Medicago truncatula: one gene and its partners. The protein of the gene in region 2 binds, or shares a complex with, the protein of the main gene of each other region. Links are inferred from orthologs where the notes say so. Each region holds a gene or a part of one and is shown on either strand. Other genes may lie near its edges. The genes, in order: 50S ribosomal protein L34, chloroplastic; 50S ribosomal protein L29, chloroplastic; 50S ribosomal protein L24, chloroplastic; 50S ribosomal protein L31, chloroplastic.

Region 1 (6,977 bases), on a different chromosome or scaffold from region 2:
GAAGAGTGATAGCACATCGTGGGATATTTTCTATAAAATAAAAAATCTGAACAAAGTTGAAAGCTTTAGACAAATACCTTGTTCATTTTATCCAACCATTATATACTAGAACTAACTGAGGTTTTAGTACAAAATAGACTTCTTTAGGACATCTTCAAGTTTAGTGGCAACAATTACTACCATGACCTCATCAAATAGCAATCATGATTGCCATTTAAGGCATTCTATAGAAGTTATCATGACTATGGTATTATGAGTAAAGCTGGTATTATTTGTTGAAACTTGAAAGCTAAGACAAAGCTGGTTTTTATATGATATATAATTTAAAACAAGGTGTAACTCTAACAATTTGACAATAAATGAAACATACACGAACTAATAATAATAAATCGAATTACTGGAATAAAATTTGTTGCCTAAAACACACACTAATGTAAAAAAAGTTGAACAAAACTTCTGTTGGTGAAAGATCAATTGCAACAAACAAGTGCATAAATAAATATCTGCACCAAAACATAATCAACTAAATAACGTACGGTCATTTTAATTTAACAAAAATCACATAAGAGATATTGTTATACATGCAAAACTGATTTTGTTGGTCATTCCATCAAGTCTCTTGCATATTTTTTGCAGCATACTGGAACAAAGATTTTGCCTAAAATAATACAAGTTTTAAATATAAAGGAGTACATAAAACCATTGTTATGAAAATAAGAAGAAAGAAAAACCTTGAAATGCGGCCAAGTTTAAGGAGCTAAATACACAAATATAATACTTTTAGGCTCTTGTGTGACTATTTGCCACTATTTGGGTGGCTCTTGGTGCAAAGGACTTTTCGTCCCTTGGCACGTCGTCGCTTTAATACAGCTCTTCCAGTTGTTGTGCTCATTCGTTTGCGGAATCCATGAGTGCGTGCCAATGATTTTCGTGATCTACTTCTCTTGGTTAAACAAAGAGCTTGTCTGCCTGCTGCTACTATAACCAGACGACCATTTTGTCTTCTAGGTCCAACATTAGGTTTCAAATCCAATCCTAGTGACAAACCTGGACATGGAGAAATCAAAACAAGCTAAATCCAAACAAATTTTTTAACTATATACATGCAGATTGAACAAATTCACCAAACAATTGAAAGCAAAGCATCCATTATTGCAAAAGAACTACAACCTCTTTTGTATTCTCTATTTTTCACATACAATTTCCAACAAAGCACTGACACGGACCCGTTGACACCGATCATAATTTGAGAAAATAAAAAATTTGGCTGTAACATGTGTCGCTGTTGTGCCATTCACCAAACACACTTTGATATTTACATGGAACCCTTGACGGTTAAAATTCAATCTAACGAGGTATTTCTATCTTGAGGTATTGCTCAAGTTTCAAATCTTTACAAAGGATGTCTTTGAAGTATTTCCATCTGACACAGGTAAACAGCAGAGTATCTTTTCTCTAATAACGACTTGCCAAATTCCTAACTTTAAGTCATGCTGAGATCAAGATGAGCATGGAATTGCAACAAACATCATTCTAATAAAAACCAGACAACAAAAAAATAAATGTCCTATGATAATGTATCAAACAACTCCTCCAAAGCCAGAGCAATGTTAACATTAGTAATATGAATATCAATAAGTAGTATTAGAAAACCACAATCCTTAGAGAGAGTAGAGCGACAATTTTCATCACCCCAATTAAAATCATTTTTCTACTCATTCAACATCTTAAAAAATGAATTGAGACATACCAGTACTACATTCAAAACTAGTTCTATTCAATTCGGATTCAAAAATTAGTTGCGGTGAAGCACGAAGCAAGGGCATTAAATTACTAGATTACATTTAAAATTCTAGAGGTGTCTTTTATTGCATTTCATCCAAAAAGAATGTAACAATATGGCTAGCATTTACAAGACATCTTATCCACTTACAACACAACCCCATTTTCCATTACAAATGCAGAAGCATAAACTTCAGAGATAAAATTTCATTTCAAACCCAAAAATTAAACTTCCATTCCAAACAGTCACCATAGTCAAGTTCAATCAAACCCAACAATAAAACATTTTTTTTTGGAAGAATTACCAATTGCATACCCAATAACAAAAAAATTGAACAATGTTTGAGGCATGAATTGAAAAATTAACAGTACAGGTATGTTTATTACAAAAGAAATTAAGAAATTAAGTTTGTACCTGAAATGGAAGAAGAGTTGAAAGAGAGAGAAGTAGGAGAAGAAGTGAATGAGCAATGAAGCAATGGAGAACGAAATTTGGAGGAATTGAGAGAGATTGAAGATGGTTTTGAAGAAGCAGTGAAAGTGGGTGCTCTGAATTTCATGGATATCAAAGGAGACACAGAAGATGATAACGAAGCCATTATCCTCTTTTTTTGTGAGTTTTGCTACGTGTTTTCGGCTTTTAAACCAGTGAGTACTGTTGAAAGTGTTTCAAGAATAATTATATTTTAATACGATTATTTTACAGATGGGGATGTAGCTCAAATGGTAGAGCGCTCGCTTTGCATGCGAGAGGTACAGGGTTCGATCCCCTGCATCTCCAGTTTTTTTTTTTTTTTTTTTTCATTCATATTCTTTATGCTATACCCCTTTGCAAGGCTTGCATCTCATCATCTTTTTCGTTTCTTATTATTTATTTTTTTTATTTTGTTTTTTGGAAGAACTTTTCTACCTTTTTCCTTCTTTTTTCATTTTTTTAACTTAATATTAATTACCTTAATTTGTCAAAATGAAAAAATATCGGAGATTTTTGTTGGATAGCAACACCAGATGTAAAATTAACTCAAAAATTAAATTTGCTTCAAACAAACTAAAATTAAATAAAATATGACAATAAATGATTGAATAATATGTACTTACTAAGACAAAATTTGAAGGTATTGGTGTGTTGTTATATCTTTCTGTAGGTTCTCCTTCTCCAATTAGCCCGTAATTTTCTTTGTTTTTCTATGTTTTTCTCTTTCATTTTCTTTATTTGAAAGGTGGTTTGAGTTAATTTTTAATATGAAATCACATCTTTTCATTTTCTTTTCTCTTTATTTTTTAAAATAAGTGATTTTTTAAATTGATCTAATTTTTTCGTAGTCTGAGTGCTACGTTGTGTTGTTCGCCGTCTTGCAATATTATTTAATTTTTTTGTCATGAAACAATATTCATTTGTTTCCTATTGAAATATTAACTTCAATCACAAGTTCAATTAATTATTTAGTCGTCAACTTTCTGATCTATAGTCATGGTATTTTGATCACTGTGATATTTGGTTATATGTCCCCCTATATATAGTCAACAGGAAATTAGAACCCTATCACAAACCAATCCCTTTTGTTTCATGTCTCCTTCGAGTAGTTGAAACCATCAACAAGGATTTATTGTGATTATTTGTATCTCTAAGTTTCCAATCTCAATTGAAAATAGAAACGAAAAAATAAAAAGGAATGACCAATCTATCTAGAATAAACCGACCCCTTTTGTCTCTAATCTAATTAAACTCAGTCCACTTTACACATTTGTGTCTAATAACATGTCACCACTAAATCAAAAGGCAGCTATTAATTGAATAATGTTATTCGTCACAGCTAAATTGTGGACAAAGAAAAAAAAAAAGGGGGATGATAGAAACCAAATATATACTCCCTCCGTCTCTATATATAAGACCCTTTTGCTAAAATCATGGGAATTAAGATACTGGATATTTGTATTAAAGTTGTTTGTAATCACTATTGTTTTTACAATTTTATCTTTAAGAAAGAAGGTTAGTTTATGTTTTCAACATGTTATTTATTGTTGATTGAAGAAAAAAATGTATAATAAATAGAGGCATGTATGTAAAGAAATAATTAATGTAGTTGGAAATAACAAAGGGGCCTTATAAAAAGGGACAAAAAAATTCTCAAAAGGGTCTTTTAATTAGGGACGGAGGGAGTATATATTTTTTTGGAAATTGTGCATTTAATACTTTAAAAGTTTTAAAAGTTATATTTTCAATATTAAGTTTCATTTAATTGAAGCTCTATCCCTTAATTATAATTAAGAAGTTTTATAGAAAAAAAAAGTTGCAAAAACATTTGATATGTTTGAGTGGTGAATTCAAATTTACAATAAAGCCACACCTAGAGTACGAGTTTGAGTTTTTTTTTTTTTTTTTTTTTTTTTTTTGCGGTGTCCAGGGTTCGAACCTTGCATATATTATAAATTGTTTTTACGACTGAGTTAAGCTCACGAGGACTGTGTAAGTTTTTTTTTTTTTATCAACTAGTGTAGTGACCCTTACATATTTTAAATGCGGAGAAGTGGGGGTATGCGGGATTTGAACGCTGACCCTTACATATTTATGCAATGTGCTTATTAACTAAGTTAAACTCACAGAACAGTGTCGGTGAGTTTTACCGCTACATTATATAAAACACAAAAATATTAAAATACTAATTTTTAATCATATTTGATAGAAAGAAGAAAAAAAAACACACATATATACAACACCGAAATGTTGATGATTGATTAGGTTTTTTGGTTAATGAAGTGTTGAGATTCATTTGCAATGTTGACAATTGTTTCGTGTTGCAATGTTGCTTGTTCTTTGAACTTGGGATGAGTCTGATTTGTTTGTGTGTGTAAGATTATTTTTTTAGATGTGATTTTGAGATTGAGGATTAAGAATTGAAATTTTGGGATGAAGATTGGGTTATGATATTTATGTGCAGAAAAAATTATCTTTCTTTTTCTAATTTAGAAAATCAATTTATTTTTATTAAAAGGATTTTTAAATGTTTTTTAATTTCTAAATCAATTTTATGATTTATTAAAATGATAATTACCACCTGGATGACACGTGGTCAACTTTACATAGTCAGCATCTGCCAAATAAGTAGCAATGGGCAAAATCGGCAAGAAAATGGGCCTAGATACTATTTTAAAAAACAAAAAAATTTGCTGGAACGTTTTTTATTTTTTTGTAGATACCAAAACTCAAACAAGTCATATTTAAAGAGACGAATAACACACTTTAGCCTTAAATAATTTATAGCCAAGATGTTGAGCATCTGTTAAAAATAGTGATAAGTAAAAGAATGAAATTATGTTGAGGTTGTGTTATGAATAGTGATAGTTAAAGAGAATAAAATTATGTTAGTACTTTAGGATACTAGTTACTTTGATAGTTGGTTAAGTTCCAAATATGCACCAAATATCATTTTCCTAAATAAAATCATTGTTTTTCTTTTGAGCATCTTTTCAACATAATTTCTTTTGAGAATTCTCATTTTCAAGCTCTCAAGCTTTGAAAGTCAATTTCCTTCATAGTTCTGAGGATTTAACATGATGGTTCCATTGACAGTGGGAGAAATTATAGTTGAGAAGAAAAGCCTAAGTGAGATTTTTGTGTGTTCAAAACATCAAATGAATCACATGAACAACAACAATACAAGCCAACAAAAAAAAAACAAGTCAGAAAGGTAACAACAAAATTTTATTTCAATACAAACTTATTAAAAAAAACAAAAGGTTAATATCATGAAATATACTTCCTTTGTCTCTTTATTTTACAAAATGTAGAAACGACACTTCCTGTTGAAGATGATGTTCCCAGTGCCTAACATTAGTGTCTCGCCATAGAGTTAGCCCTAAGAAGCCTTGGAGAACTGTTGGGTCTTGCACCGATGCCAAAGAAGGATTCAAGATTATTTTCATTCTTCTATTGGTCCAAACTTACAGTAGCTGCAGCCTGCAACCCTCTTTGGCCTCGTCAACATCTCTTTTTGCAACACGCTCGACCTTGATTCGTACTTCAGATTCAGCCCTTATGGTTTTAGCTCTTTCACGTGCTTCCCTCTCCTTTGGTGGGTGCTATTTTACCTTTATCTATTATGAAAATATTATCTTACTAGACGAAATCTAACTTTGAATTTGGTATTGTGTTCCTAATCATGCTCAATTTATAACGGAAACTTCTTTTTCTCTTCTTTGAATAGATTGCATTGTGTATGGCATGGGCTCCCTTTTTACTTCAATCTGACCCTCATTGCTAAGACTCTCACATTCATTCGTTGGGCTTTAATTACCTGACAGCATTATTTGCCTTGAATATTGTGAATGTATCGAGATCTTGTGTCTGAATATGAAATACTTGATACTTGAACTTTCCCAGTATTCTTAGGCAACTTTTACTAGATTAATATGTAACTTTGCTGGATTAGGACGTCTAGCTTTCACTCTTTATGACACTTTTGATCTCCCATTAGATGCTTACTGACTTGCAAACTTTTCTACGTATGGTTGGGGATTGGGGTGATTATTCCTTCACGGTCCTGCCTTAGGGTATTTCTCGTCATCTTAATTGTTAAACTTGAACCTCAAATTCAATCCATTTAATGGCTGGGAGTGGTTCCATAACTAAGCCTCGTGCATTTATTTTCCAACATGTTAAACCCATGTTTCATGATATGCCAGGCATGTTGTTATTAACTAGAGAGTGATTAATGCTTTCTTGCATAAATGTAAAATACTTGATGAGCGCTACTATGCATGAGCTTCACACTGGATTATATGTTATATTGGTTGAGTAATGGTGGGTTATATTTAGAAATCTCAAACATTTGAAGTTATCTAGTTTTTCGCTCAATTTTCTGTTTTTCACTAATTTGATTGAAAAAATGAAGGTTCTTATGTTAAATGGCACACATGACCGGAAGACTAACGGATTTTCAGCTTCTTGTTTTGTTACTGCTATTACGGATGCTCTAAATCGAACATATGGAGAACCTTGTAACCGTTTACAGAATCTTGAGAGAATTCCTTCCTATTGAAACTACTTGGTGTCACTATTATTATTAATGGGTTACCTTAGAAACTTCACATAAAATTGAAAGGTTTGGGATGCCAATTATCGTTGTTTCTATTACTCTTCCGTTGTCCCCTTCAATTGAAACTGTTATGTCTCCCAAATCTGCAAATTATGCAAA
Region 2 (7,846 bases):
CTTACCAATACCCTCCTCAATCTCTCTTTCCCGCTTTACAGTAAGCAAGCGAGCAATCTACATCAATAATAACAGTAATTATTCATCCAAAAGAAGGATACCGCTTGTTGGCAAAGCTTTTATAGGATCATCTGAAGTTATTATTATTAGGGTAATATTAAAAGGCTTAATAGCAGTTTTCGCCCCCTAACTTTCACAAATTTACGATTTTGGCCCCCTAAGAAAAAAAACTACAAAACCGCCCCCTAACTTAGGGTGCCACGTCAGCGTAGACCGAGTCAAAATTGGCCTTGGGGGCCAAAACTGCCACAGATGCAAAACTTAGGGGGCGGTTTTGTAGTTTTTTTTCTTAGGGGGCTGAAACTGCTATTAAGCCAATATTAAAACCAAAAAATAAAGGAAAATGTTAAGTTTAAATAGTAAGTTTATGAAAAGTTGTGTATTCAATGCATTGGAAATTGTAATGGTTGACTTTTTTAAAAGAATAATTACTAAATTTGGGATCCTTAAAGAGTGCCCCGGGGAATATTGTTCTCTCCCCTTTTTCTATGGTGTGCATATCTTGCCTTTACCATGGAATCTAAACATTCTAAATCCTAGCTAATGCACTGCTTCTTTGCCTACTGAATCCTTAGTGCCCATTCTCCTCGATTCAATTTTTCTTGGTGGGACATGAACTCTGATAAAATGATGATGGGCCCGTCATGAGCCTCCCACGTTGCCGAAAGTGGAAAAGGAGCGCGGATAGTAAAGCAAACTGAAATAGGACTGTGAACTTCGTCTGTCACTACTGAAGGAGATTAATCTATTATGCTGGATCCTAACAAACAGAGCATGTGGCAATAGGAGAGGGCAATGGGAGATGCAGGAACCAATGGAGACGAACATTAATGTGGGAAGGATAGATGTGTGGAGGAATAGCAAATAACTTGAGCATTTGAGGGGTGATTAATAACAAAGGGCAGAGATGCTTTTCTAAGATATTTTTTTCAGTTTCGGTATATCCTTACACTTGTCTCCTGATATCTGGGTTAGAGTTTTCTTTTGGATTTTTCGATGATCTCGAAAGTCAAATCTACTTCTACCAATTTAAATTTCAGTTCTGATACAGAATATAAGTTGCATGAGTGGAAAAGGTTAATAACGTATATGAAAATAAAAAGGGCCACAGCAATTGAATTTTATTGTGGAGTGAAAATAGACATGATAAAATAAGGTTTTTTTGAGTAAATCGTGATTTTGATTGTTAAAAAAGCAATGTAATGAAGAGGACTGAAACAAAGAATAAAGGCAGAGATATTAATCTGCTGCAGCTTAATTGAATCAAAATTATAATACAACTGAGTGTAAGAATAGGCTGCAACTTGCAAAGACATTCGTTATGTGAGCATAGTCACGTTACATCATGTCCAAACAACTAAAGTAAAAGATATTGTAGGCTAGTTTATGAAGAAAGGTTAAGTATGCTAGACTGCAGTGCATCATGTCCAAAACTTGACCTTTACACTTTTCTTTCTTCTTTGGCAGTTTTATTGTCCTCTGTTTAGGGGTTCTTTGGTTTCCGGTTTTCAGTTCAGTTATTTCCGTTTACATCGGATTAGATTATACTAGATATGAATACCCCAAGCTATGTTAGCTATTAGCACTTGTTAACAAATGGTACTAAGTGGGCTCTCTCTCCTCAAAGATCTAAACTCTATCCGGCGATGGATTTAATCTGTGTGAATCTAAGAAACAAGAGTCCACAAGCCATCATATTGGTTGATTGAAATTGAACAGAAACAAGGAGAATGACTTCTCCTCCAAGCCATCTTACAACGGCCACCACACCACTCCACTTTTTCAGGTATGGTATTTTCGGGACTCTCCATATTTCAGGTACGGTGTTTTCGGGACCAATTGCTCTGTGCCGCAATACATGAGTGACAACTATGATAATTACACGAGCTACGTTGCTCGAACTACAACGAAGTTAACGAAGTTGAAGCCCTTGGCCTTTCCTTTCAATGTTTGTTTCATTGTTGCACGAGATAAAAATCCTGATGCCTTCAAATTTTACCCTAAGTTTGGTATAATGGGCACCAAAAATAATGCAAATGGGATGTAGACATAGGCTTCTTTCCTTTCCTTTCACTCCATTTCCATTCTAACGGAGCAATATTTCATTGTCCCCTTAACAATTTTGATTATTGTGTGTAATATGTAAGTCATAGGCTTGATAATTTCACTATTCCCCACCTTAGTGACTAGTGAGTCTTTGGCTTTGTGTATTTGGTTATTGACGCCCTAAACATAAATCTCTTGCACTGATCCAGGCAATAAGAAGCTAGTTGTTTCTCTAACATAACCATAAAACAATGACAATTCCAACACATTGATAATATTCAATTGAAGTTAAAATGACAAATTTCAATAGATTTTTCCTACTGGCACCCCGTTTATTCCTAATTTCAAAAACTCCCATTTACCTAACACTATTAATGTATTTAGATTGGCTTATAATCAAAAGCAACTCTATCCTAAAAATTTAATTAAGCAAATGTGAACAAAGTATATTAAAATTTCTATAAAATTGAATAAATAATCTAAAGAGTAAGAAAATATACCGTCTTACGCATGCTACGAAAATCACTGGACTTAAACTCATTACGAGCAGATTTCTGAAGACGAAGCATGAACAACTCTCCCTTAAGTTCAACAACCTCTTCATTGATTTGTTCGGTGGTTTTAGTTCTAATTTGCTTCAATTCTTCTTCTCTCTTTGCCATCATCACAACTGAGACCGAAGCGGTGCGTTTCGTCGCTGGGATTGTGCACGTGTTTGGTTGACGTAGACGAATGCCATTGAAGGAGGATTTGAAATGTAATGGTTTTGGAAGAAAAGAAAGTGTTGAAGAAGAAGATGGTGAAGCAACGGAGAGGTTCAACATTGTGTTTCCGCGCTCGTATGTTTTATCTGATGAACAGCAACTGTGTGCAGTATGTGTTGTAGTTGCAGATAAGATCCACACCCTATCTTACTTCATCCTTTATGAGCACAACTCCTCTTTTATTTTATTTTATTTTTTATTCATTTTTTCTTTCTTTATAAATTAGATTCAGAGAATTGGTTTGTATAAAAAAAAAGTTTTTTTAGATACTGGATTGAAAACATTTTTTTTTTTTAATGTTTGGTTAACAGAAATATTGGATTGAAAACATTTACGAATTCAAAGTATTTATGTATAACCAAAGTTACTTAAATAATAATATGTTATAGACGTTTTTTTAGATATAACAACGCTTTTTATAGATATCCAACATTCACTTTCTTTTTTAGAGGAATATACGTAGATTTAATCTTATGGAATGAGTTATATGAATTGTTGGAATCCACATGTATTTCACTAAAAAAAATATAGCGAGTATTAGAAATTTAAGTCAGGTTGATGGTGTTTAATGACCTTTGAGTATGGTACTTCCTCAATTGTTGGTTTCTTCTCCGTCACTCTCGGCCTTCTTTTTCGGGGAACGAAAGCAGTGTATATTTTTTTTTAAAGAAGTTAAACTAGCCCACTCAAATTGACAATGAAGAGAATCAAACATGAGACATTGCGGAGAAACACACTCCAAGAACCCAAACCAACACCACCAGAGCAACTTAAGTGGACTTCGTTGATGTTTCACATACCTGCACTTCATTGATGTTTCACTATTAGAATTTGATTACATCAAATGAGAGTCTTACAAATCATCCTAAGTGAAACAAATGAACATCAGAAAGTTCATTTCCAGCACATACTTTCAATCTGACGGACAAGTACAATTGGTAAAAAGTAAAAGCAAAAACAAAAAGCAAACTCAAGTGCGACTCAATGAGAATTAGACATGCATGGGGTTTGGTACTGCACAAGGATCAGAAAATCCCCTAAAGCATGGGCATGAAGTGACAATTCCACTTTCCTCTCTCCTGCACAAGTTCTAAGGCAGATTTGCAAAGGCTTTTGTTCAACATTATTTTGAATTATGTATGAAGAACGATACTCATGGAAAATCCCTTAAATTCATCTGACATTCATAGGATGAACCCAAAAACACATATGACATTCATCCTTATGAACTTAGGAACAATATCCTGATGAACACAACAATATTCCGAAGAACACAACAACGTTTTTAAGTATTATGATGAACCCAAAAATATTTTGAAGTTCATAATGTTGATCAAGACTTCAAGCAATAGTTGCTAAGTCCGAGGATATGTGGCACAAGACCATTGCACACGCCCTAACAACTACAAGAGGTCAAGAAACTCTGTAAAAAGATAAGAAGACTCTGCATTGAAGCACACAACTTTCAAACATACTTAAACAACTTAATCAAAGTGTTTAAAGTTATCCATAAGTCCTAGCTCAACTGGCAAAATGACGAAATTGTTAGGTCGGATGCCATGACCGGGGTTCGAACCCCGATACCTCCACTTGTGTGTGTGAGTTTATAATGGCTTTGTCATTTCGTCTATCTACAAAAAAAAAAAGTGTTTAAAGCTTCATAGCAAAATTGATTTCACAAATCAACTATAAAGATTCCTAAAATCTCAGAGAGTATGAATCAATCTTATCTTATCTTCTTAAAGATGATATTATTCCTCTCTTCTTCTTCCTATTGTTCAACTCCATTCAAACTTCCAAATCATTTGTAAGAGAAAAATCTCATCTAGCTCTAAGAGTATTAAAGTGTAGGCTGAGTATAAAGTTGTAAAGTCTTGCATGACTTAGCAAAGAAAGTCGTAAGCATGATGAGGCTTAGAGAATACATGTTGTAATTGTTCCAAGGGAACAAGGTTGTACGATGCAGGAGTTAAAAAGTTATCTCAAGCATCATAGTGAAAATCTCAGAAGATTGTGAGGAGTGAATTAGCCCCCATTAGATGAACCAATGTAAATTATGCGTGTCTTTCTTCTCTTTCCTATACCATTTACTTACGGTAAACACAACACACACACACACACAATCATTTACATTTAATATATTGTTTTTACAGTAACACTTTAGAACTTTCTGAAGTCTCTTTTTAACTTAACATTTTCAAGTTTCAACTTAAGAATTACTTTTTAAGTACATGATTTAATTTAAAAAAAAAAGGTCTTACTTCAAGGTGTATTTTGTGAATAGCGAACATACGATCACAAGTTTAAAATCCAATATTTATAATAGAAGATTAATGTTTAAGCCTTTGTACCTCTGCCTGGTCAGCTGTTTTGGAAGGACGACCATGATCCTTTTAGGGACAATTGTTGTCATTTGAGGGCACTCTTTAGAAGTTAGGTCTAACATAAAGTTCTAGGTTTAAGGTTTTGGTTTGTGAAGGATTCGTTATTATGATGAACCAATAATCCCAAGACTTTTTTTTATTTTTATTCTTTCCTTTTAATTAAAAATTCAAACTTTAATCTCAAACTCTCATCTAATCATTATTTAAAGTTAATTGAATTCATAACTCTATGTCGGAACGATACTTTATTTTTACTACTTCGATAGAACTGTGCACTTGCGGTTTTATCCCATTAGTTGTTTGCCTCGGTACCCGTTCTTATGTGCCACTGACCCATCTGGTTGTTTTCCTGCTTCTCATTCTTCCTTGTTATGGGCTGCTTTGGCTATCATTCTCGTGGGTCATTTGCTCTCATGCCACGACCATGCGGTCTCGTTTTGGGAGGATCACTTTGGGACTTAACAATGAATGAGTTTCAATCAATGCTGAAACAGCTCCCCAAACTATTATGTGAGGAACTCAAGTTATGGCTTGTACATGAAGCTGAATGGAAAATCCCTTTGTAGTTGGAATTCGTTCGCGTGTTTTTTTTTTGTTTCTCCGGACATCTGGTTCGTTAAATGTTTTTAAAACAATATCCATTTTAAGTTATTTCTAAGACAATGTTTTTTTTTGTTTCATTTAATTTTATTTTCAAGGTCTTCCTAACCACTGTCTCATGAATATTTATAAAGAAATTCATTAATAGAATTTTTTTTTCAAATATAAGTTGTCCTATTTGTTCAAGTAATAGTTATGTCATTTTTTTTAATAAAAATTTATCTTTATTTAAATTGCTTAACTAATATCCTTGAGAAACACTCTCGACATCCTCTTTATTTTTGAGCTATGTTATTTGTACATTTAAAATTGGACAACCATTAACTTTGCAAGGAGTAGAGCTGTCAAAACGGGCGAGCCCGTTTAGCCCGAATAAATATAGGGCTTCGGCCTAAAATATTGAGCCCGAATTTTAATAGGGCTTTTTAGCCCGGCCCTTAAAAGCCCGGTACCCGTTAGGGCTAGCCCGAATGGGCCGGGGGTAGCCCGTTAGCCCGCATAACAAAAAAAAATTCTATAAATTATATATATATTTCAAATAATTATTTACTTAGTTGATTATCAAAGTATAAAACAAAAGTGAAAATTCAATGAATTAACACAAATATAAATGTAATATAAAATTATATTTATTCATTTCGTTATTTATAGTTTTAAAGATCGAATATATAAATATCTATAACCATAACATATCTAATTTATTTAAAATCATTTTTCTCGTCGTTTTAGTTTACGATGTTTGTACGAAAATGTTTACAATTTACTTTTGTGCTAGACATTATTTAAACATATTAAAAATATTATTTATAAAAAAATTATAGTAGTGTTTTATAATATTTTTTAAAATAAAAAAAATATAATTTTTAATACGGGCCGGCCCGTGTAGGGCCGGGCTCGGGTAGTATATTTCAAGCCCGTTTTATCAATCGGGCTTTTTGGCCCGGTCCGCTAAAGCCCGAAGCCCGCTAGGGTTGGCCCGTTTAGGGCCGGGCCGCCCGTTTTGACAGCTCTAGCAAGGAGTATAGAAATCGAAATCAGATAAAATATTATTAAACATAGCAAATAAATTGTTGGTTGTACAATTTAGTTGTTCAAATATCATTTCTATTTATTTTTAAATCTCTTTTAATTTAATTTTAAAGTATCTTCGTTAGTTTGTGACCCAACATATGTTGAATCATACACAGAGACATCATAGAGGTGTTTAAGTGCTGTAATAAATTATGTTAATGAAAGTTGGTAGTTAGTTGAATTTTTTTTTTAAGGAATTAGTTAGTTGAAATTTTGACGTTAATGTATTAGTCTAGCGTTGGTCTATGTGGACTTTTGTGCTAGTCGAGGTTAGGCATGTTAGGAATTAACAAGAATTTTAATGGAAAATTGAAGATGTGAGTTATTTTTAAACAATTTTTATTTGAAAAAAAATCAATTATTTTGAGACAGTGTGTGAGTGTCAATTTTACAATTTAAGTGCATGTTTCCAACTGTTTTGAATGAAAATATCCATTAATTATGATGGCAAAGCCACAGCCCACAAGGGAGTAACAAATGTCATTTTTTCACAATCTTCTTTGATTTAGACCGATTGCTACGAACCTCTCTCGTTTTCTATCTAAAGCTTCCATTAATTTTTTGGCCTCATCAATTGTTTGGTTTAATCGGAGAACTCAACTTGAGCCACTCCTTTTCACATCCACTCAAAATACGTTTCAAAAGTCTCATGTCGCACTTGCTACCACTAAATAAATGGGGCAGAATATCGAACTATAATTTTGTCCCATTAATTTTGTTTTTGACAAATTGTCCCTTTTAAAATTTAAAAACGTACATCAAAATTATTTTCAAACCACTCTTATCTTTTACAAGGTGTAATTAAGACCATAACATGAATAGTGAAATTACTAAAGTGGAGAGTGTCAGAGGTCCGGAGGAAGAGATTCGTCATCACTCGAGGCTTTGTGGATGCATGATACGATGTTTTCACTGCAATAA
Region 3 (6,984 bases), on a different chromosome or scaffold from region 2:
GAGATCAACATAGGTACCAGAATAATAACACAACATAATATACACTTAACAATAAAATGGGAAAAAAAATAATACAACTACATTGAGTTACATAACTGCTGAATGCATGAATTAATATAGTAAAACTAGGCAGCAACAAGTTCTTCAGTTTTTTTAGTAGCTTCCTTCAGTTTCTTCCAATTCTCTACACTATCAATTACCTCTCCAGTTTTTATTAGATAACGAACTTTTTTGCCATTGTCAATAACTTTATGACCAACACGGCTTACGACATTCTTTTCTTTAGAGTAGAGCATCACATTTGAACTGTGGATAGGACCTTCAATCTGAAATTCAAGGCAATGGTTTCTAAAAGTATTAGAGTCCATGACAAGAAATGCACCAAAAAAAAACAAAAATCATAAACATCAACGCATGTTTCTAAACTTCTTTTTTTTGTCTTAACCCTCAAGTTTCTAGAGAAAAGAGGCATGGTAATCCAAACTTCGGTCGGGAGGTAAATAAAATTGACCAAAATTTGTTCCAGCCAGGATTTGAACTCGAGTTCCCTCAAACAAAGGAGAATGTTATATAATAGGAGATTCTCTAACTCTTAAGAGTGAAGAATTCATAATAATGTTTTCTCTGGTAAAGGGAAATGATAATAACCTTATTTATTTGCCCTGGTTCTCCCTCTTGTCTACTCTTCACATGCTTTGTCTTCAAGTTTATGTCTTTGACAATGATAGTGCTGTTGTGCTTGAAGATCTTAGTAACCTCCCCAATTTGACCCTTTTCATGTCCTGATATGACTTTCACAGTATCTCCAACTTTAACATGCAATTTGTGTAACACTGGAAGGCTGTTTGGTTTACATTCCTTTCGCTCCCATCGTTTAAGCTGCCAGAAAAGAAAAGAAACAAAACAAATATTACACAAGACATTTTATAAGGTTAGTTGTTAGACAATATATTTAGACTCATGACCTATAAACCAATGTCTTTTTATGTTTTTTTACAATATAAAATTAAAGAAATCATAAGGTTTGTATCGTTTTCATTTTTGCAAGAGTATGAAAATGCCATTGACGGAAAAAAAAACATTTCTTTGCTCTCGGATCACTATAGTTAACATTTGCTTGATTTTGATTTTAGTTTAACAAAAACTAAAGAGAATAATCATATTAGGCATGGATGTGGGAAGTATTTGATACTTACCTTCATTACAATACGACATTGCTTATCTGTCGGCTTACCCTGCATATCACCAATAAGAACAATATAGATTTAGCATACTAAACTATTGAGAAATGCATCTGTAAGAAGAAGAACAATATAGATTCATTTTATCCTTATAAACAGTCAAATTTCAGCCTGGCAAAATGTAGTAGTTACATTACATTGAATGAAACATTAAGCATTATTGCATTTTCGTAGTGTTGTCAATCGCAGATTACAGAAAATAGTGGAATGCCAAAAATCTGTTATGCGAAATAGCAGACTCTATATTGGTTGAATTAAGTAAATTATATATAACGAAAGGCTTGAATTAAGTCAATTATATATAACGAAAGACATGTTCCGTACAAATAAAAAAGGGTATGGAGGCAAAGCATAGCTTACAAACATAAAGGCTTACGTATTACAGTGAATATGAGAGTATTACTCTCTGGCGATTCGACTCTTCTATTTTGAAAATAGTTCTTGTTTGCTACACGTGCAGACTCTTCAATTTTGTAATTTAAAAAAAAAAAAAAAAAAACAAATATTCTACTTTTCTTCTATTGCACAGTTGCACTACATCTGCTAGCAGAAACTAGAATAGTGGCCGCTATTTCTCTAATAGCGAAACTAGGATAGCTTTGTGTTTTTTTTTAATAGAGGATTCATCAAAATCTTCTATTTCCTCTCCATCCAATCACTCTCCATCTCCTTCCTCCCAAAATATGTGTCTCTCTCTCTCTCTCTCTCTCTCTCTCTCGATCTTCTTACCTTTTCTCTCTCTCTCTTGATCTTCTCTCTAAAATTTGGATCCAGATCCTCCACTTCCACTCACTCTCTCCTTCTCCTTCCATAATTGGTGTCTATCTCTAAATTTTAGAGAAGATCATGAGAGAGAAAAGATAAGTTAGAACACATATATTCTTACAAGGGCTTAGTTAGAAATGAACAAATAACATTTAAATTTATTCTTACAAGGGCTTAGTTAGAAATGATAATTTTAGGCAAGCACTAAGCAAATGAACACACATCAAAGAACACATATATTCTTACAAGGGATTAGTTAGAAATGGATCCTTTAATCAATATTTTCACATTGATATGAAAATTGTGTTATATCTCCTTCTTCATATGCACTATATTTGTCAAATTCAATCCTATCTTAATTTGTGATTGTCTAAAGAACACATTCAGACACACAATTGTCATGTGAAAAATCTAAATCTCTTATGAGCTTATTCACATTCAATTCCAATAGCACTGGTCATGCTACAAAATGGCAGATTCAATTTATTCTAATAAGAAAATGAATAAGACACCGAGACACACCTTCAATCAGAAGCATTGACGTTGAATAGGACATGCCATATAAACATGAACAGAATTATGAATTATAAACTGATTAGTGCATCCACTAATTCTATGAAGATGATAATTATTAACTATAAATTCAAACAATATCACCACAATTCTAATTAGAAAAATAAACACGAAATGCTATTACCCATGAACTTGGACTCTTAAAACTCACTAAAATCAAAAACCCCATGTGGATAAAATTAGAAAATAAGTACCTAGAATAATAAAAATTGAAACTTTAATTCAAAAAGAAGAAGCAAATTTGCAAAATTAATGGAGAGAGTGTAAGAGAATGAAGTACCGGAAGAAGAGGAGAGAGAGTGATGGGAGAGAGAGGCTGGCCGAAGAAAGAGTTGGAAGAGAGTGAGAGTGAGGTCATGGAACTCTGAAGAGAAGCCATAGCCATAGCTACCATTTTTGTTGCTGTAACTTCTTCTTTTTGCTTCTGCTTCTGATAATGATTTTGGATAATACAAAATTTCAAAATAAAAGAAAAAATTGAAGAATTTGGTGTGAAAATGGATCATGGGCTTTATGTGGGTTAGTTTTGTAAGCCCAAATTGTAACGAAAATTGATCTTCTTCCTTTCAAAATTACTCATTCCCTCAACTCGGCAGGAATTAATTCCCGGCATTTTTCATGGATAACTCACGCCGACATTTTTAAGATCTGTTCAATCATTTTTTAAATCGGTTCAATCGATCTTAAAAGTGCTGGTGTGAGTTAACTCACGCTGAAAAATGTCGAGCGAGAGTTTCCCACTAAATTAAGGGAATAAGTAATTTTGAAATGGAGAAGCAATTTTCAATTGTAACTCTCTTCGGAATGAACCAATTATTATTATTTTTTTCTCTTTAATTTTTTGTTCAATAATAAATACTAGAGTAAATTACACTATTGTGCTATGTTTGGATTGGTGATGTGAGATGAAATAGAGTGGTAAGTAATTGCCTTACACTATTGAGAAGTAAAAACTTAAAGTAAATTATATGTCTCTCCTCTTAATAGATACTTGAATTATACTTCTCTCGTTTAGATGTATTTTCTTATGTGCTTTTGTACAATTCTAAATTAAAAATACACTTTTTCTTATAACAAACTTTAAAAAAAAATTATCGATTTAAGTAAAACATGGATAGTTTAGTTAAGAAACATACGAAAAATACCTAAGAAAATGAATGTACCAAGTTTTATCCTTAAAAATATAGAATGCATCTTATTAAATATTTTGATATATCCTATACTTTATTTTTTATTTTGTATCCAGTAATCTAAAAGGACTTATTAACAACATTTAGCATTATTAATTTTTAAAAAAATATATATGTTATGAGGTTTCTTCTACACTGTTGCATACATATTTGCAATTGATAAATTTATATTTTAAAAAGAAAAAAAATTGAAGCAAGCAAACTTAAGTAATTTCTTTTATCATTATCAAGCAAGATATAGTATGGGATAAAATCAAAGTTTTGAGACTTGACTGTATGTAGCTACTCTAGCTAGCTTATAAGTCACTACATTAGTTTGTCTCCTAACATACTCCACCACCAGAGTTTTGACAAAAAAGGGACTTAAATAAAACATATACAATCATGAATCATCAATAATATAACCTAGTTCGGACATATCCCGATTTGGTTTATTAAAATTGTCAACCGTCAATTTAGAATCCGACTCAAAAAATATATGATCAATCTCCAGCTTATAACCCACTTGATTGCTTCAATCAAACCAAGTGCTCTTCATGAACAAGGAGGCGAGGAGAATAGTGATCTGTTCGATCTTGCAGGAAATTGCCTACTTCATCGCTTAGACACATTCCTACACCAACATAGTTGTCCGTGAACGATGAATCAATGTTACATTTTATCATCCGTACCGGTGGTCTTTGTCATCACCATTCTGGCTGCTTCTCTGCTATATGGTTATTGACTTGCTGCCGGTGTTCTAAAAAGGACGTAGCTCTCTGATGCAATTCCTGCAGACCTTCAACAACTGCTTCCATAAGTGTAAATTCTGCAGCGCCACAAACTTCGCATATCTGTACACCATTTGACTAGCTGGTTTGGATCTATTGTATTTGCAACTTTGAATAATAAATATTTGCAATAATCTTCATATCAATAAATCTGTCAAGGACAGTCCACATACCTGTCTCCTGCCATGGCCAGCTACAACTGGACACGTTACCATGATGTGTCAAGCGGATTCTGTGTTGCTGGTGCAGCGCAAATGGACGCACTACCATGATATGCCAAGCAGATTCTGTGTCAGCTGCAAATGAACATGCTACCATGATGTGCTAAGCGGATTCTCGTTACTGGTGCAGCGCAGGCAGTAGGGTTGACAGGGAGCTCCTCTTGTACAGAGATTAAAATTTATGAAGTTAGATTAATTTTGCAATTGAAATCCTAGTTAACTCTTCAGAAATTAAAACTATGATCCCTCAAATAATTTGCAAATCCATTTAAGTGAGATTAAAATTATTTTCGACATTAAGATTGTTAGTTGAGTCGGAAAATAGATTGCGTGCATGAAAGTAACCCTTTTTTCACATCAATTTCATTCATGAAAGTAATAATATACAAATTTAGGAGTTTCTGTTCTGCGAGACAACAGAACTAAGGCAAGAGAATGAAACAATAAAGTAAAAAATAATGTAAAAAAAAAAAAGAATGTTACACAAAACTACAGAAGATGATGCCAAACATCATTAACTCACTCAAAGCCTAATGTCTAATAAAGATCATTATCCAAAGCCAAAAAATAAATAAAAATAAAACAATAGAAAATAAAAGAACTAAATATAAAGCTATTTTTGTTACAAATCATACATGTCAGTTGCACTATCTATAGATTCATCTCTTCTGTGGCGACTATCTATAGATTCATCTCTTCTGTGGTCAGTAACATGACCCTTATTTTCTGGCTCATCAACATCAATTGCAACTTCATCTGTTGTGGCCGAAAGAGACTTCTTGTGATGATTCCTCTGATGCCTTGCTTTAAGGATCCGAGTCAATACTTGAACTATGTCCCTCATCGAAGGACGCTTCCTTGGGGAACGGTTGATGCATCTGTATGCAAGTGCTGCCACTTCATTCACCTCTTGGAAATCACATTTTCCTTCGAGCTTTGAATCAACAATCTCCTCCCAACCAACTTTTCCCTCGGAGTTCATTGCTGCCTAATCATCCATCAATAGCATTCATAAGAACAGAAAAAATTAATTAGATATCATGGTGTGCTGCATCAAAAAAAATTCAATTTGGTTCGATTTTTTTAATTTTTTTTCCAACTAATATAAATTCAGTTCAAGAAAGAACAATTAGATTTTTTGTAAAGGTAGTTTTATTTCGGTTCAGAATCATCGAACTGGTGCACCTCTTGGGACGGACCCCATTAACAGTTCGCTTCAGTTTTTATGAACTGTGGTAACGCCGTAACGGTTTAGTTTGGTACGGTTTTCTTTCTGAATTGAACCACAATAAGCCCTATTATTTACAAGGATTTGTGAGTATTGTCTCCGCAACTTAAATTTCTAGATCTGTCACCACTTGTTTCGATATGTACTATGTATCAAGCAAAGAAGAAAGAACAACAAGATACATTTTATTTTCAACAGGGCTTGAAAGAGGGAGAGAGGTCTTACAAGTTCAACATGTTCCATAAGACCCTGCTGAGGATTTCGGCCAGCTATAAGTTCAAAGAGCAACACTCCAAAACTGTATACATCGCTTTTTTTGGTGAATGTCCCGGATGATATATATTCAGGATCCAGATAGCCAAAGGTGCCACGAATAGCAGCATGTTTATCCACCATCTCTTCTCTTGAAAGTCCAAAATCAGCAACCTATTTGATTCAGAATCAATAAGAGCATAAGAATTCTAACCCACAATAAATTATTAGAGGAAATATATATTTTGTCATTCAGCATTATCTCAGATCATACAGATTGAATAAAAGATCATGGTTATCAAATCAAATTTCAAGTAAAAAATATAACATTTTTAAGTAAAAACATGTGACATACATAACAAACCTCAAAATAATTCAAAATTCTAGTCATAAATCAAATGGCAAAAGAAAAGTGGTAGGCTGTACAAAGTTGACAAAATAGGTTGCAGCGTAAACTAAGTGTAATGATTCAGTAGAATGAAACGAGATTCATTAAAGTGAACCGAGATTCATCATAGTGAATCGAGTTTCTTCATAATAATTTGGGGTTCAAGATGAGATTCAAGTCCAAATAGATACACACTACAGGTTTGTGTCAATTGAGTTTATAATCTTGTGCTGAATCGAGATACGACTAGCATGTATCGTAAAATACTGATAATGATATACAAGGTCATGCTTAGAAAAAGTGATGATTAACAGGACATACCCGGGCTCGCATGGACTGATCCAAGAGAATATTGT
Region 4 (6,489 bases), on a different chromosome or scaffold from region 2:
TTTTTCCTTAAAAAAAAATGATTTTTTCCCTTAAAAAAATCATGATATATGATTTTTTGATTAATGAAATTGATTCTTTCCTAATTTTTTTTTCTTTCTTTCGAATCCTCAATTATGATAGCTTAGAGCACAAATATCAGCAGTGGTATTGCCAACGTGTGCCTGTGTGTGTCAGTTTGGATACTGCTTGGACACTACGGTGCCAAGAATGGCAATGGTGCCATTCTTTTCCTTTTTCACCTTTTATCAATAGTTTAAAATATAAAATTGAATATATTGTAAGATTAGTGAGACCTATTTTAGAGTTTTGGAGAGTCGTGTGGATATTTAGAAAAATGTAGTTGGGTGGTTTAAATAATTGGAAAATGTAAAGTAATATAAAATATTATGTGAGACCCATTTATACTACTCATATGGGTGACATGGATGTGAGTGCTCTTAGTTACGTTATTTTGTGAATCATGATTCAAAAATATATATTGTGAATCATAAATTAAATGAAATAAAAAATAAACTTTCAATTAAAAGCTTTTTTTTATTTTATTTTTGATAAATTTAGTAAGCTTTGATGCATTTTTGTTAATACATTTTTTGGTTCGAAACATGGTTAAAAGTTAAAACATTAGGTTGAATTATTTTTTTTTAGGGACATTAGGTTGAATATTTTATTTACATTTAATTTGACTGACTTAAAATTTATTTTGGTCCCTTATTTTTTTTTATTCACTATTTGGTTGTTTCTAAGTTTGAAAATATAATCTCAATTTTCAAAATTTTGAAAATGTAAATACAATCCACCATTGAACTGGAGGTATTTTTAGGTGACTTGTCAAGTTGAATAAAAGAATGAGCTGCCATGTTACATTAGTGGGTGACAATGCACATGCAAGTTGTTTTATGATAATAAAATTTAAAATAGAAAAACGAAAACCCCTAAAAAAAACCAAATTCACCAACAAAAAATGCATTTGTCACCTCTCAAGTTAAAGATATTAAACATCCCTAAAAAAAGTTTAAGATATTAAACATAAGATCTAAGAAAGAATCTGAGGATTTGATAATAGGTCAATTGATTTAATAAAAGATAAAGAGTTAAAAGTCCATTATTCAAAAAAAAAAAATATATAAAAAGAATGTGAGGTTTTGATAGGTCCATTGATTTAATCTAAATGATAAAGAGTTAAAAGTCTTACATTTAAACTGGAACGAAAAAGAGTAAATATTAATCTAAACAAGTAGTATAATACGTATAAGTTTGTAATTTCTTTCAGTCAGTTTGAATAGATTTTCCATTTTCGGGAGAATAAACCTTCCTAACCTTCTACTAACGACCTTTACGTTGAGCACGTTACCCACCAAATGGTTTTGTTTCTTTATTGTTTTATTTTATTTTATTACAAACTGGTTTTTTGTTGTTGTTGAGCACGTAACCTACCAAATGGTTTTATTGTTTGGTGGTTAATGAAGAAGACTAATAACCGCCGGTAATAGCTGATTTTTGTTGTTGTTGAGAAATCCAGCAACAGCTGATTTGTCACTAATTCATTCGATAGATGTAGATAGAATATAATCCAGTAGATAATCTCGCACACGTTTGACGACTTGCATATGATATTGTCGCTCGAGCTAGTAAATGAGTTACATTGTTGATTTTCCTTCTAATAAAACTTATCATAACGTTTGGAAAAGATTGCATAATAGTTTTACGAGCATGCTAAATTTTGACATGCTTTATCGTTTATGCCGTCTATAACTAGCTTGCAACCTAATTTTATACACTCGAGTATAACCCAAATTCATAAGCCAAAACAACGCTTGTGTTCAACCCACATGCTTGCGCCTCTTGAGAATTTGGTTGGCTAAAATTCTAAATAGTTTGTGCTCGTACACAATTTCTCTTGTTGTCCGAAAACAAAGATGTCGACACCGAATGTGTTCTTGTCTCTAAAATTAGTCGCATCAACATATACTTCCTCTAGTCACACAATACATTTAGTATTCACCAAACTTAAAAATAATTTTTGCTTATAAATGTGTCCGGAATGAATAATTAGTTGTTTTTTGTGTCGATATAAATACTTGATTTATTATTATTAGGAAGCCTTAATCCTTAAAATTTAACTAGTTGAAACTTGAGAAGTTTGAATGGTGGGCTATGTGCTGCATTTGAAGTTGGTGGTTACAACTTACAATGTTGGAATTTTAGTTAGAGAAAGGAATGCACAGTAGTAAGGAAGATTTAAATATAACGACAGTGACACTTACAATGTGGCGACGATGACAGCTGATAGGTTTACAAACAAACAAACAAGGATTTCTAAAGTTAGCACATATTTTTGTGATGTTCGTGTTTTTCTTCAAAATCACAATGGTTGTTGTCACGTGGTATCATCACATACACCTCACAATGTTTTGAGTAACAAACGACCATAAAAGACTAAAAAAGGAGTACTGTTCCCACACTAATTTTAGATGGATTTGCTTCGTATAAATTTAAGTCACTACCTATCACGTTGGTCTTTTTTTCTTGGCATTGCCTATCAAATCAAATTGGATTAAAATGCAATGTCATGGGGATTTAGATTTCCCATATTAAATTTAAGACACGTCAGTTAATGTCGACCGTCCTATCTCAAAGTAAATGGGATAGGTTACTTAAAAATTACTATTCAGCTAGAGAAATATAGTTAAAATGACGGTTTAAGATTTCATATTTAAAAATAATTTTTAAAAAATTAAATAGTACATTTTTTAATGTGTTGAATATACAATTTTTTATTAGAAAAAGTATATTATTTAAGGTTTTTGAAGAGTGAGTACTCGGATAATACCATTTTACATCTTCCTTAAAAAATAATTATTGTACTATCTATATATTGGGGGAAAGAAACAATATGTGGATTGGACAAGAGGACATACCACTACATAAATTTCGAAAATAAAAATTACATCAATGTAAACGTTAATTTTCATTTATATTATCCTTTCCAATTTTTTTATCTTTGCTGGAGGAGGAATTAGAAGAAAAAAAGTGCAGGGGTGTTCTAGGTCATTTGTGGGTCCCTTCAATCCGATGATCCATACAAGTTTATCAGGTAATTTATTTGAATTCATTTGAGTTTGGATTCAACTCAATTCAACCCACTCAAATTTAAAGTGATTTGGATTGGATTGTTGTTTATGTTTTCAAATACATGAATTCACAAATTTGACTCATTCAAATAAACTTTGATTTTTTTTTTTAGGAGAGTAAACCTTGAGTTTATTATATATAGATTAAGGCTTTTATGTGTTAGTAAATCATAATGGATAACCAACAATATCAAAACAATAGAAAGAAAAAGTAAAAATATAATATAAATATTTGAAAGAAAATTATCACAAAAATGATCAAAAAATAGTTTATATAAATATCATTCATCTATCCATATTGACATGTTTGATTGTACATTCATTACCTTTTTCAAGGGTACGATGTAAAATGGTTTTCCAATCCAAAATTCAGGAGGATAAAGTAAAAATAGTGAGAAAACAATAGAGAGATAAAGTAAAAATAATGTGAGTATGAGAGATAAAGTTGTCACAAAAGTTGTCATTAAATAGATGTTCAAATATCATTTCTCTATTGCAGAAATGATATTCTAACAACCTAGGTTGTTGTTACGACAACATATTATTATACGGCCTAGGTTGTTGTCCACTTATTTTTGGATGTTCATATATCACTCTTCTTTTTAATACTACATATTTTTCTCGACAAATGTATTTTGTGGTTGAACTTTGATGGCGAAATATGGGATGCTTATATGATATCTAACTTGATTTTATGGAAATGAACTATTAAGTGAGAACTCACCTAGACATTGTTTTACATCAAAACTGTTTCTTTTGTGATATGGATTAATGACGGGGTGTATACGAACCGGTTTTTAAGGATGAGTTAGGCCTCCAATTTCATTATGGTATCAGAGCCTGTCGAATTCAAGGGCCACCTACCGATTCACGCACCAAACCCAAAGAGTGTTGGGCGTGACAGGGGTGTATTGGGAAAAAAAATCCATGTCCCACATAAGATATATAAGACTCTTGGTAAAAGTTTATATAGAGGAGACAATTCTCACCTTAAGAATCAATTTTTAAGGATGAGTTAGACCTCCAATTTTATTAGATCGTGTCATCAACTGAGTTGTCAGATAAGCATCTCATTTATCACATCATCAAAGAGAAAATTGGCGATATAAAAATAGGAGTACCAAAATCGCAAAGAAGGCAAAATGGAGAAACCAAAATGAGATTTAATAAAAAAAAAATAAAAAACTTTGTTGTGCATGCGTGGTACCACATTGGATTTGTCATGGTCATGATTAACTACTGTAATTTTTTTTACTATGACTACGGTAATTTTTAAAATATACACTTTGTGTCTATCTATTTAGAAAAAATAAATGAAAATCACATTAACAAAACACATCTATCAAACTCTTTACTTTCTATCTTATTAAATGTAAGTCAAATTCACACATGTACTCAAACATGCTATATTTAACTTGCAAAATGACGATAACTCATCGTGATTCTGAAAAAGCCACGGTGTCCCATGATATGAAACATGCATGTAATCATAATTTATAATTATGCAATAAATGTATATATACATATATGTGGTCTCACACATACCATACATTATGATTAAAGTTGCAGTTCTCACATCCATTGTTTTTTAGAAACACATAGAAATGACAAAAAAAAAAAAAAAACAGTGGTAGTTAACTAGCGCTGACTTCAAAATAGAAAATCGGTAGTAGTTAACTACCGCTGAGTTTTTTGGTCATTTACTAATGTCTCTAAGAAACAATGGATGTAAGAACAACAACACTCCATCATGATTTCCTAATGGGCTTATTGGGCCTCATGAAATGAAAGAAAAAGCCCATTTTGAACTACAAACAAGAACAAGAACATATGTCCACACCACACAATCTCAAATTCTCATATCTAATCTCATCTGCAAAAAAATGGCGCAGTGCATTACCAATACCTTTGTTCAAGGAAAACCATTCCTTCCACTTCCCACAAAAAACGTAGTAACCAACCACTTCCTTAAAATTTCCAATTATTGTTTCTGTATTAAACTAACCAACATGTTTTTTTTTGTAGTTGCAGAATCAAAAAGGAAAAAAAGTGGGCAATTTCGGAGTGTATTGTAAGAAGAAAGACATACACCCAAAATTCCATGAAGATGCTAAGGTTTACTGTAATAACGAGCTTGTGATGACAACTGGTGGAACCCAGAAAGAGTATGTGGTTGATGTTTGGTCTGGGAACCATCCATTTTACCTAGGTAACAGGTCTGCTCTTATGGTGAGTGATGATCAGGTGGAGAAGTTTCGTAAGAAGTTCGGTGAATTGTCACAGATTATGGAGATTCCTGTGCTTAAAGGTGAGATTGTTATTCCTTCTAGACGTAAAGGGATTAAAAGTGGTGGAGGGAAGAAGAAGTGAGTTATTTGTGTTGGAATTGTAATTTGATTGTATGGTGTTTGTTAAAATGTTTCTATGAGTTTTTGTTTTGTATTTTGAATGATTATTTATTTGATGTTGTTTTTGTTAGTAATTCATGTTTGGATTGTTGCGAGATTGGTATAATCACTGTGAGCCAATGTGATTTTGGATAACCAAAACTACATTTTGGAGCTTCGGAACTCGTTGTGAATCCAAACATACACTTATATGAGAAACAAATATGGTTTTGGATTCCCTATTGTCTGCATTTACGCAATCATGAATCTCGACTATTGAATTGGATGAAGTTATATTTTAAAGAAGATTTCTTAATGCTGTGTCTGTTTTTCATCCAATGGTTGAGATTTGTTGGCTGTTGTTGTAATGTGTGATTCTTTCAATTGTAAAGAAACATGGTTTTTGATATATTTCGAAAGGAACTTGCATGTTGTGTATGCTTTTTTAACAGGCAAATGTTATTAAGCTAGTTGCCAAGTTAATTTCTAAGGATCAAACTCTGAACTTTGTGCTTAAAACTAATGAAGCGTCCATTAGTTTACTAATCGGGCTATTTAGTTGAGATGTGTGGTGTACGATTCTAAAATATTAGAAACTTTGTTGAACTTGGGTACCATTTGCTACTGCAAAGAAAGTACGGCCACAAAGCTTACCTTTGTTTTAATTTTATCAATTAAGAATTGAGGAGGGCAATGAGCACTATCTTTCTAATAATGACATCTCTAACACTCATTCTTTTCATTTATTGGATGAAACCAATCTCGGTATCATATTTTGAAAATGAATTCCACATAAAGTGATGAACCCATATGAGTTATACTTATACTCGAGTGTTAAAAAAAGAGTGTTTCTAACTTTTATCTTAAGAATTAGACGATGCCTTAATTCTTGGAGCTAAACTAGTTAAGGGCGTGCAAAAGGAGTTATAGCTATTATGCTTGAACCCTTAACTATGGTTGTGATCATCTA

What was found.
Region 1: 50S ribosomal protein L29, chloroplastic (region 2) and 50S ribosomal protein L34, chloroplastic share a complex: the UniProt entries of both Arabidopsis thaliana proteins name them as parts of the 50S ribosomal subunit. The link is inferred for Medicago truncatula from reciprocal best matches to the Arabidopsis thaliana genes AT5G65220 and AT1G29070.
Region 3: 50S ribosomal protein L29, chloroplastic (region 2) and 50S ribosomal protein L24, chloroplastic share a complex: the UniProt entries of both Arabidopsis thaliana proteins name them as parts of the 50S ribosomal subunit. The link is inferred for Medicago truncatula from reciprocal best matches to the Arabidopsis thaliana genes AT5G65220 and RPL24.
Region 4: 50S ribosomal protein L29, chloroplastic (region 2) and 50S ribosomal protein L31, chloroplastic share a complex: the UniProt entries of both Arabidopsis thaliana proteins name them as parts of the 50S ribosomal subunit. The link is inferred for Medicago truncatula from reciprocal best matches to the Arabidopsis thaliana genes AT5G65220 and emb2184.

Annotation. Positions count from the first base shown.
Region 1 is NC_053043.1:4,727,653-4,734,629, reverse strand, and holds 50S ribosomal protein L34, chloroplastic, read right to left. Parts: upstream 2,420-6,977; 5' UTR 2,382-2,419; coding exon 2,198-2,381; intron 1,048-2,197; coding exon 797-1,047; 3' UTR 517-796; downstream 1-516. UniProt on the Arabidopsis thaliana protein: This protein binds directly to 23S ribosomal RNA.
Region 2 is NC_053049.1:41,914,078-41,921,923, forward strand, and holds the start of 50S ribosomal protein L29, chloroplastic, read right to left. Parts: upstream 3,028-7,846; 5' UTR 2,931-3,027; coding exon 2,607-2,930; intron 58-2,606; coding exon 1-57.
Region 3 is NC_053043.1:40,655,506-40,662,489, reverse strand, and holds the start of 50S ribosomal protein L24, chloroplastic, read right to left. Parts: upstream 3,024-6,984; 5' UTR 2,974-3,023; coding exon 2,860-2,973; intron 1,236-2,859; coding exon 1,197-1,235; intron 880-1,196; coding exon 649-879; intron 327-648; coding exon 126-326; 3' UTR 1-125. Other genes in the region: calcium/calmodulin-regulated receptor-like kinase 1, read right to left, coding at 5,383-5,748, 6,214-6,414, 6,950-6,984. UniProt on the Arabidopsis thaliana protein: One of two assembly initiator proteins, it binds directly to the 5'-end of the 23S rRNA, where it nucleates assembly of the 50S subunit. Required for optimal plastid performance in terms of photosynthesis and growth.
Region 4 is NC_053042.1:7,238,320-7,244,808, forward strand, and holds 50S ribosomal protein L31, chloroplastic, read left to right. Parts: upstream 1-4,928; 5' UTR 4,929-5,015; coding exon 5,016-5,081; intron 5,082-5,157; coding exon 5,158-5,502; 3' UTR 5,503-5,968; downstream 5,969-6,489. UniProt on the Arabidopsis thaliana protein: Binds the 23S rRNA.